2 linked regions of the Ovis aries genome follow. The protein of the gene in region 2 interacts with the protein of the main gene of each other region in a biochemical or structural test. Links are inferred from orthologs where the notes say so. Each region holds a gene or a part of one and is shown on either strand. Other genes may lie near its edges.

Region 1 (4,087 bases), on a different chromosome or scaffold from region 2:
AATATGACTATAACATATATGGACTATCCCAATTTTTCTGAATGGCCTACACAACAAAAGTTTATTTTCTCAGTTCTGGATGATAGAAGTCCACGATCAAAGAGTCAGTAGGGCTGGTTTCTCCTGAGTCCTCTTTTCATGGTTTACAGATAACCACCTTCTTGCTGTGTGCTCACTTGGCCTTTTCTGTGTACATATGCCTCCCTGCTGTCTCTACCGCTTCTTCTTTTTTTCAGGAAGTATTTATTTCTTTATTTTTGGCTATGCTGGCTCCTTGTCAGTGTGTGGGCTTTGTCTAGTTGTAGACAAGCATGGGCTTCTCATTGCCGTGACTTCTCTCTTTGTAGAGCATGGGCTCTAGGGAACGTGGGTTCAGTGGTTGCAGCTGTAGGGCTTAGTTGCCCCATGCCATGTGGGATCTTCCTAGAGCAAGAATGGAATATGTGTCCCCTGCATTGCAAGGCAGATTCTCAACCATTGGACCACCAAGGGAGCCCTCTACCTCTTCTTATAAGGACATTAATCATGTTGGATTAGGGTCCCACTCAGACTACCTCATTTAACCTTAATTACACCTTAAAGGCATTATCTCCAAATACAATTACACTGGGGATTGGGATTCGGTGCTTACACTTTGGAAGAACACTATTCAGTCCATAACAGCAGTCCACTGTGAGTCTCAACGGTAATCTTTTGCCCCAGGCATCTGTGGTTGGTTTATCTTGTGCTTTTCTGGCCTAAGTTTTAGACTCAGCAAAACAGAGATGAATGTCTGCATTATGGACTATCCCGTTTTTTGAGGAGGACGGTAAATAGAAATAAACAACATTGTAAGGCACAAGCAAAGCAGGTCTGAGGGCTCTGTGAGGCATATGGCCACTGGTTTGCAATCTCTGATCTATTATAGAGTAGGCAGGCAAGTTTGTAACCTGTAAACTACGGTGCTTTGCTGTGTCAGGGTAAACAGTACTTGGGTGTGGGGGAGGGATGGCAGCAGGGGGTGATTCCCTCCTGCCAAAGGTAAGACCCAGAAGTGACTCCTCTGGCCGTGACTCGGTGCTTTCGCCCCACAGGCCACTCTCCTTGTAGCTGAACAGCGGCCGGAGCCTACAGAGCTGCGCTGACGCTACCCCCGTCTCAGGGCCTGAGGACAACGAGCCCACCCTACCAGCCTTTCAGGGAGCAGGGCAGCAGCGACTGGGGTTTTGAAAGCTTTCATCAGAAAGTTGTGGGCGGAAACTTCCGGGGGTTTGCTCTGAGCTTCTTGAAGCTTCTCAGGTTCAGATGCAGAGTGAGTGGGTGTCTCTTTGAGAAGCAGAAAGAGAGAACGAAAGAGAGGTGTTTCCCTTGGTTCTGGAAACTCTATAAAGAGAGAACCGGCTTCCTTCTCATGAGCAGTCAGAAATAGGAGTCCGGCCCTTGACACCTGGGCCTCCGCACGACTGAGGAAGAGGAAAACCCTTGGCTGGGGGCTGGCCTGAGGCACTGGATACCATGCAGCAGCCCTTGAATTACCCATACCCCTCAATCTTCTGGGTGGACAGCAGTGCCAGCTCCCCCTGGGCCTCTCCAGGATCAGTCTTCCCCTGTCCGTCCTCAGTGCCAGGAAGGCCGGGGCAAAGGAGGCCACCACCACCGCCACCCCCAACACTACCGCCATCGCCACCCCTGCCTCCACTACCGCCACCACCTCTGAAGAAGAGGAGGGGCCACAACACAGGCCTGTGTCTCCTTGTGGTGTTTTTCATGGTTCTGGTGGCCCTGGTTGGACTGGGGCTGGGGATATTTCAGCTCTTCCATCTGCAGAAGGAGTTGGCCGAACTCAGAGAGGTAAGCTGCCTGGGGGATTGCCGCACCCTGGAATGTGCGGAGGTGGGGGATGGGGTGAAACTGCCCTGCTGCAGTGGGGGAGGAGGGCGACAGAAATCCACATGGACCACACTTGGCTTGCAGCATACTTCTCAATCCTTTCTTCCTGTCTTAGAAATGAATCACGCTAGCCATCCTGTTCTGCCTGCAGAGAAATGGGGGCTCAAATGGGTGGAAGGAATATTTTCTATCTTGGGAGGGATCAGGATCAAATCAGGACTGGCAGATGATCAGTTGGCTGATCATCTGAGAGAGGAAGAACTCTGCTACCTACCTCATACTCGATTCAAGAAAGAAAAGGGACTTGGCATCTGAGAAGTGAATTTGTTCAAATGCACAAACTAAATTTCCTTGAAAGTGCTTAAAATTATTAGAACTATTTCAAATCACAAAACTGAGGCATGGACAGGCACAATTGCTTGGCCAGAGTCTGAGTTAGGAGAGGTTCTGGGTGCTTAGATTCCCTTTCCAGTGCTTAGTTTATTTGACAGTTCTTCTTCCTTTGCTTAAAGAACTTCATCAGTTCAGTCGCTCAGTCGTGTCCGACTCTTTGCGACCCCATGAATTGCAGCACGTGAGGCCTCCCTGTCCATCACCAACTCCTGGAGTTCACTCAGGCTCACATCCATTGAGTCAGTGATGCCATCCAGCCATCTCATCCTCTGTCGTCCCCTTCTCCTCCTGCCCCCAATCCCTCCCAGCATCAAAGTCTTTTCCAGTGAGTCAACTCTTCTCATGAGGTGGCCAAAGTACTGGAATTTCAGCTGTAGCATCATTCCTTCCAAAGAAATCCCAGGGCTGATCTCCTTCAAAGTGGACTGGTTGGATCTCCTTGCAGTCCAAGGGACTCTCAAGAGTCTTCTCCAACATCACAGTTCAAAAGCATCAGTTCTTCGGCGCTCAGCCTTCTTCACAGTCCAACTCTCACATCCGTACATGACTACTGCAAAAACCATAGCCTTGACTAGACGGACCTTAGTCGGCAAAGTAATGTCTCTGCTTTTGAATGTGCTATCTAGTTATTATGTATCTTTTCTCTTTTGCCAGTCCACCAGCCAGAGGCATACAGCATCATCTGTGGAGAAGCAAATAGGTGAGTTTTTTTATGCTTGCACGTTGAGTTTCTAAAAACAGTCCTCAGCACCAACCATGTTGGAGGAGTACCTTGAATTCCACCTTATTCTTAGGCATATATAGACTATAGAAGAGAAATCCTAACCAATTCTGAAATCTCTTGTCATTTTGGTTCTTGAAACTGCCCTAAAATATGAAGTGAGTTTAACTGTTCAAAATTAGTTAAGTATCACAGAAAAATTCAAAACTAATTTCTGCTTGAATTTGGAAAGAGAAACACAGATGTACAACCCTGGACCTTTGCCCACCCCCCACACCCCAAGCAGCTGGCTCCAGGCCTGCCCCCTTCCTCAGGCCTCCTGATTCCCATGTACAGGGCGGTGGCTATAGCTCCTCAGGAGAGAAGGGAAGGTGCAGACAGACACAGCTGTTGCTGGGAAAGATCCTTGCTCTCCTATTTAATCTCTGTACTCTTGCCTGGAAAATCCCATGGATGGAGGAGCCTGGTAGGCTGCAGTCCATGGGGTCGCTAAGCGGACATGACTGAGTGACTTCACTTTCACCTTTCGCTTTCATGCATTGGAGAAGGAAATGGCAACCCACTCCAGTGTTCTTGCCTGGAGAATCCCAGGGATGGGGGAGCCTGGTTGGCTGCCATCTATAGGGTCACACGTAGTCGGACATGACTGAAGTGACTTAGCAATAGCAAAAAAAAAAAAAAAAAATTACTTAAGAGTCAGACCTGATTTAAAATTTTAATAGGTTATATTTAAGCTTTTAAAGAGTGGGCAACCAGTCATCCACATTAGGGTGGTTCTTTTGCAGCCGCTGGAAAGCTTGGAGGAAGACGTTAGGCATTTTACAGAGGGTAGTCCCACTTCACTCAGAGACAATCATGCGCTGCTTTTGATAATAAAGGGAAATCCTCTGTGTGAAATTCAGGACAGGAAGATGACAATGTTGAACATCGGCCTCCTAAAGTTTCAGGACATAGTTTTGGAAACTGTGGATTTAGAATACTCGTTAAACTAAGATGGAAAGGAGGTTAGAGAACATCTGGTCCAGTCTTCTCACCTTTCAGAAGAGAAGCAAAACACCAGATGGATTAGTAATGTCCCCAAGACCTCTGCTGTGGAATGGGGCT
Region 2 (3,512 bases):
TAAGGACATTTCTGTAAGCAACGTAATCCTATAAAGGAGGGCAGTACGAAGAGGCTCTAGGCAGCATTCAGCTGCCAAAGTAAAAACCAGTGAACGTGATAAGCAGAGACAGAGCGAGTTCTCTTTAACGACAAAAGGATGTTGGACCTGACAGATCTTGTGAATAAACAAGCCCAATTCTAACATTTCATCTCACTGTCTTTTGCACTATTTTTTTCCCCCAGCTTCTAATGGTAATTAATTAAAAAAAAAAAAAACCATCATTTTCTCACCTATTATCTCCCAATACTTTTTCAAAATCAGCTTTTCATTGCAAGTTTACTTAAAGAAGTCAGGATCCTTAAGTGAGCTAGACCAACTGTTTCATTTCCACTCCTCAAATTGTCCTCAGGACAAGAAGAGGCAGAGCTCGGCAGGCTCTGGGGAGGGAACCAGCGTGCCTGCGTGCTACGTCACTTCAGTTGTGTCCGACTCTTTGAGACTCCATGGACTGTAGCCCACCAGGCTCCTCTGTCCATGGGATTCTCCAGAATACTGGAGTGGGTTGCCATTTCCTTCTCCATGGGATCTTTCTGACTTAGGGATCCATCCTGTGTCTCTTAAACATCTCCTGCACTGGCAGATGAATTCTTTATAACTAGCTCCACCTGGAAGCCCAGGGCACCCACTATTCCTGCCGGGCTCTGCAGGATTGCTGACTGTGGAGGATGGCTTTTACTCTAATCACTTGTCTCAGGTTAGCTCAGACACTGAACTGTCCGTCTTTGACACTGAGAAGAGCTTTAAGGGGAAAAAAAAGGTCATTTTAATAGTATTTTTCTCCATCATTAAAATGGGATAATAAAACATGCTAATTCAGCCATTTTAGCAGCCTTCCCTGGTGGCTCAGTGGTAAAGAATCCGCCTGCAGTACAGGAGACCTGGGTTTGATGCCTTGGTTGGGAAGATCCCCTGGAGAAGGGGATGGCAACCCACTCCGGTATTTTTGCCTGGAGTACCCACGGACAGAGGAGCCTGGCGGGCTACCGTCCATGGGGTCGCAAAGAGTTGGACACGACTGAATGAATAAGCAACAACAACAACAGCAGGGGCTGGAGGTGGGTAGGTGGGTCGGGGAGTTAGGGTCTAATGGGTACAGTATCAATTTGGGAAGATGAAGACGTTCTGGAAATGAATGATGGTGATAAGTCCAGTGGGTGAGGGCAAGGTGGCCAGGATTCCATAGGAGGCAGTGATGCGGCTCTGGGCCAAAATCTCCTTCTCTGAGCCCCAGAGCCTTGTCCACAGATCACTGTGGAGCATGCAATACCTACCACACAACACTTGTAAGGTTGTATGTTTATTGATCAGGTGTCATATATAGGCAAAGTATATAATCTTTCTCTATAGGTTGCAGATTATAGATAGATATCTGGGCTGATTCAGAAATACCGTCCCCATTTTGCGGTGGTTTTATTCATTAACTTCGGTGTCTAGAGCAGAGCAGCCACCAGAATATGAAATCTGGCACCGGAGGGTTTCACGGGACCGTCAGCCCACTGTGTAGGCCCCACCCAAAGGCTTCCCCCTCCCGCCAGCCCTCTAGGCCCAACAGCAGCAAAGGTGACTAGGAGCCTAGAGGCCACATCACTGCTCCGCCCCAAAGTCTCCCATCTCTTGCAAAGTCAGAGGTGAAGCCCCTGGGCAGCCTCTGAGGCTCACATCCGCTCCACGTCATCCCCACACCTCCTGCCCCTGCTCGGGACCGGTGCTCTGGCTGTTTCCCCCATGGGACACCCAGCCCCGGACAGCCCCTGGGGCTCTCTGCCAAGGCACTGAGTCCCTGCTGCTACTGGATCGCTTTTAGAACCTGCACCCCACCCCCTCACCCCAATCCCTAAACCATCACACCCTCCCCCAACAGCATACTTCCCATCCTACATACGGTCCTTATTATCAGTGATTATTACAAATGATTGTAATTAATACTCAACCATTAGCTCTCAAGGGAGGAGCTGGGACTGCTCCATCCAGCACCTTGGGAATGCTTAGCACCCTCAGATTTTTGAATGAGGGAATGATTTAAACATTAAAGGTTTACTTTTAAACTGGCCATATCCATTGATTTTGTGAAAAGCCCAACATTAACAAGAAAGAGAAGGCTTTGGGGAAAAGTCCCTCTGCTTCCATGTTCTGGAAAAGGGACGGCTGGCAGAATCTGGCTGGGAAGATGCTAGGCATCTGGAAATACTGAATGACGTCCCCACAGCCAGTAAGTTGAGGATGTGAAGAATCATTTGTTTGCAGACAGAGGTGGTTGTCTCTTGAAGTGGCAGAGACTCCAAAGTACATTATACAAATCTCTGTTTCAGAACTGACCAAGCAAGAATCATACAGCATCATTTCTATGTCCGTTTCCTCCACCATCCGGCGCGAGGCTTGGGAGGAGCCCCGTGTCTAGTCCTCCAACCATGTTGCTTCAGCAATATCTGTGACCGCGCCAGGCACATTCAAGGCTGTTGGTGGTGGAATTCATTAGTGGATCGAAAGACATGCACTCAGACACGAAGGCGGAGAAGTGTCTAAGCATATTTTACAATACCTTCCACTAAAGACAAAGTTCTCACACCCTTGTCTTTCCTCTGGATATTTGTTCATCTTTTTTATGTCTCATACCACCTGGCTTTTTTCTCATATATATCCCGCAAATGGAAATAGGTAAGTAAGCAGTACCTGGGTAGGGAATTTTCCCATAGGTGACAATTTCGTACAGGAGAATCCCAAAGGACCACACATCAGACTTGATGGTGAAACATCCGAAGTTGATTGCCTCTGGAGCTGTCCACTTAATGGGGAACTTAGCACCTAGGGGAGAAGACACAGGGGCTTTACTTGGGTCTCTGAGCTGAAACGAAAAAGTCACAGGCGTGTGACTCTCACACTTTCCTTCTTTGAGGGGGAAAGTTTTGATGATTTATTTTGAATGGGTAACACATGCATATCCCAGGTGGCTCAGTGATAAAGAACCTGCATGTCAATGCAGGAGACCCAGGTTCAATCCCTGGGTCGAAAAGATCCCCTGGAGAAGGAACCGGCAACCCACTCCAATATTCTTGCCTGGGAAATTCCATGGATAAGAGGAGCCTAGCAGGCTACAGTCCATGGGATCACAAAGAGTCAGACATGACTGAAGCTGGTGAGCACACAAACACACAGAGGCCTGTCAAATTCTACAAAACCAATATAATAAATTGATCTCCTGGGTCTGAATCCTGGCTCTCCCACTTACTATATGGCTTCAGAAGCTTCTGAGCCTCTCCTTTCTCCTCATATAGAAGGAGGAAACAATACCCTACTTATCATATAGGGTTACTGTAGAGATAAATGAGGTAACGTATGAAAGGCACTTAGAACAGCAGCTGCCTCACTGCACAGCTCACTACCTGCTGCTGTCGACTGCTGGTGCTGTTGTTCAGCTGCTCACTTGTGTCTGGCTATCTGCGACCCCACAGACCGCAGCACACCAGGTTTCC

The links. The genes of interacting proteins can lie anywhere in the genome.
Region 1: the proteins of LYN (region 2) and FASLG form a complex in vitro, tested with the Homo sapiens proteins (2 studies listed by BioGRID, with this or other methods). The link is inferred for Ovis aries from reciprocal best matches to the Homo sapiens genes LYN and FASLG.

What each region holds. Positions count from the first base shown.
Region 1 is NC_056065.1:39,431,119-39,435,205, forward strand, and holds the start of FASLG (tumor necrosis factor ligand superfamily member 6), read left to right. Parts: upstream 1-1,284; 5' UTR 1,285-1,494; coding exon 1,495-1,830; intron 1,831-2,916; coding exon 2,917-2,962; intron 2,963-4,087. UniProt on the Homo sapiens protein: Cytokine that binds to TNFRSF6/FAS, a receptor that transduces the apoptotic signal into cells. Involved in cytotoxic T-cell-mediated apoptosis, natural killer cell-mediated apoptosis and in T-cell development.
Region 2 is NC_056062.1:36,228,778-36,232,289, reverse strand, and holds part of LYN (tyrosine-protein kinase Lyn), read right to left. Parts: intron 2,845-3,512; coding exon 2,713-2,844; intron 1-2,712. UniProt on the Homo sapiens protein: Non-receptor tyrosine-protein kinase that transmits signals from cell surface receptors and plays an important role in the regulation of innate and adaptive immune responses, hematopoiesis, responses to growth factors and cytokines, integrin signaling, but also responses to DNA damage and genotoxic agents.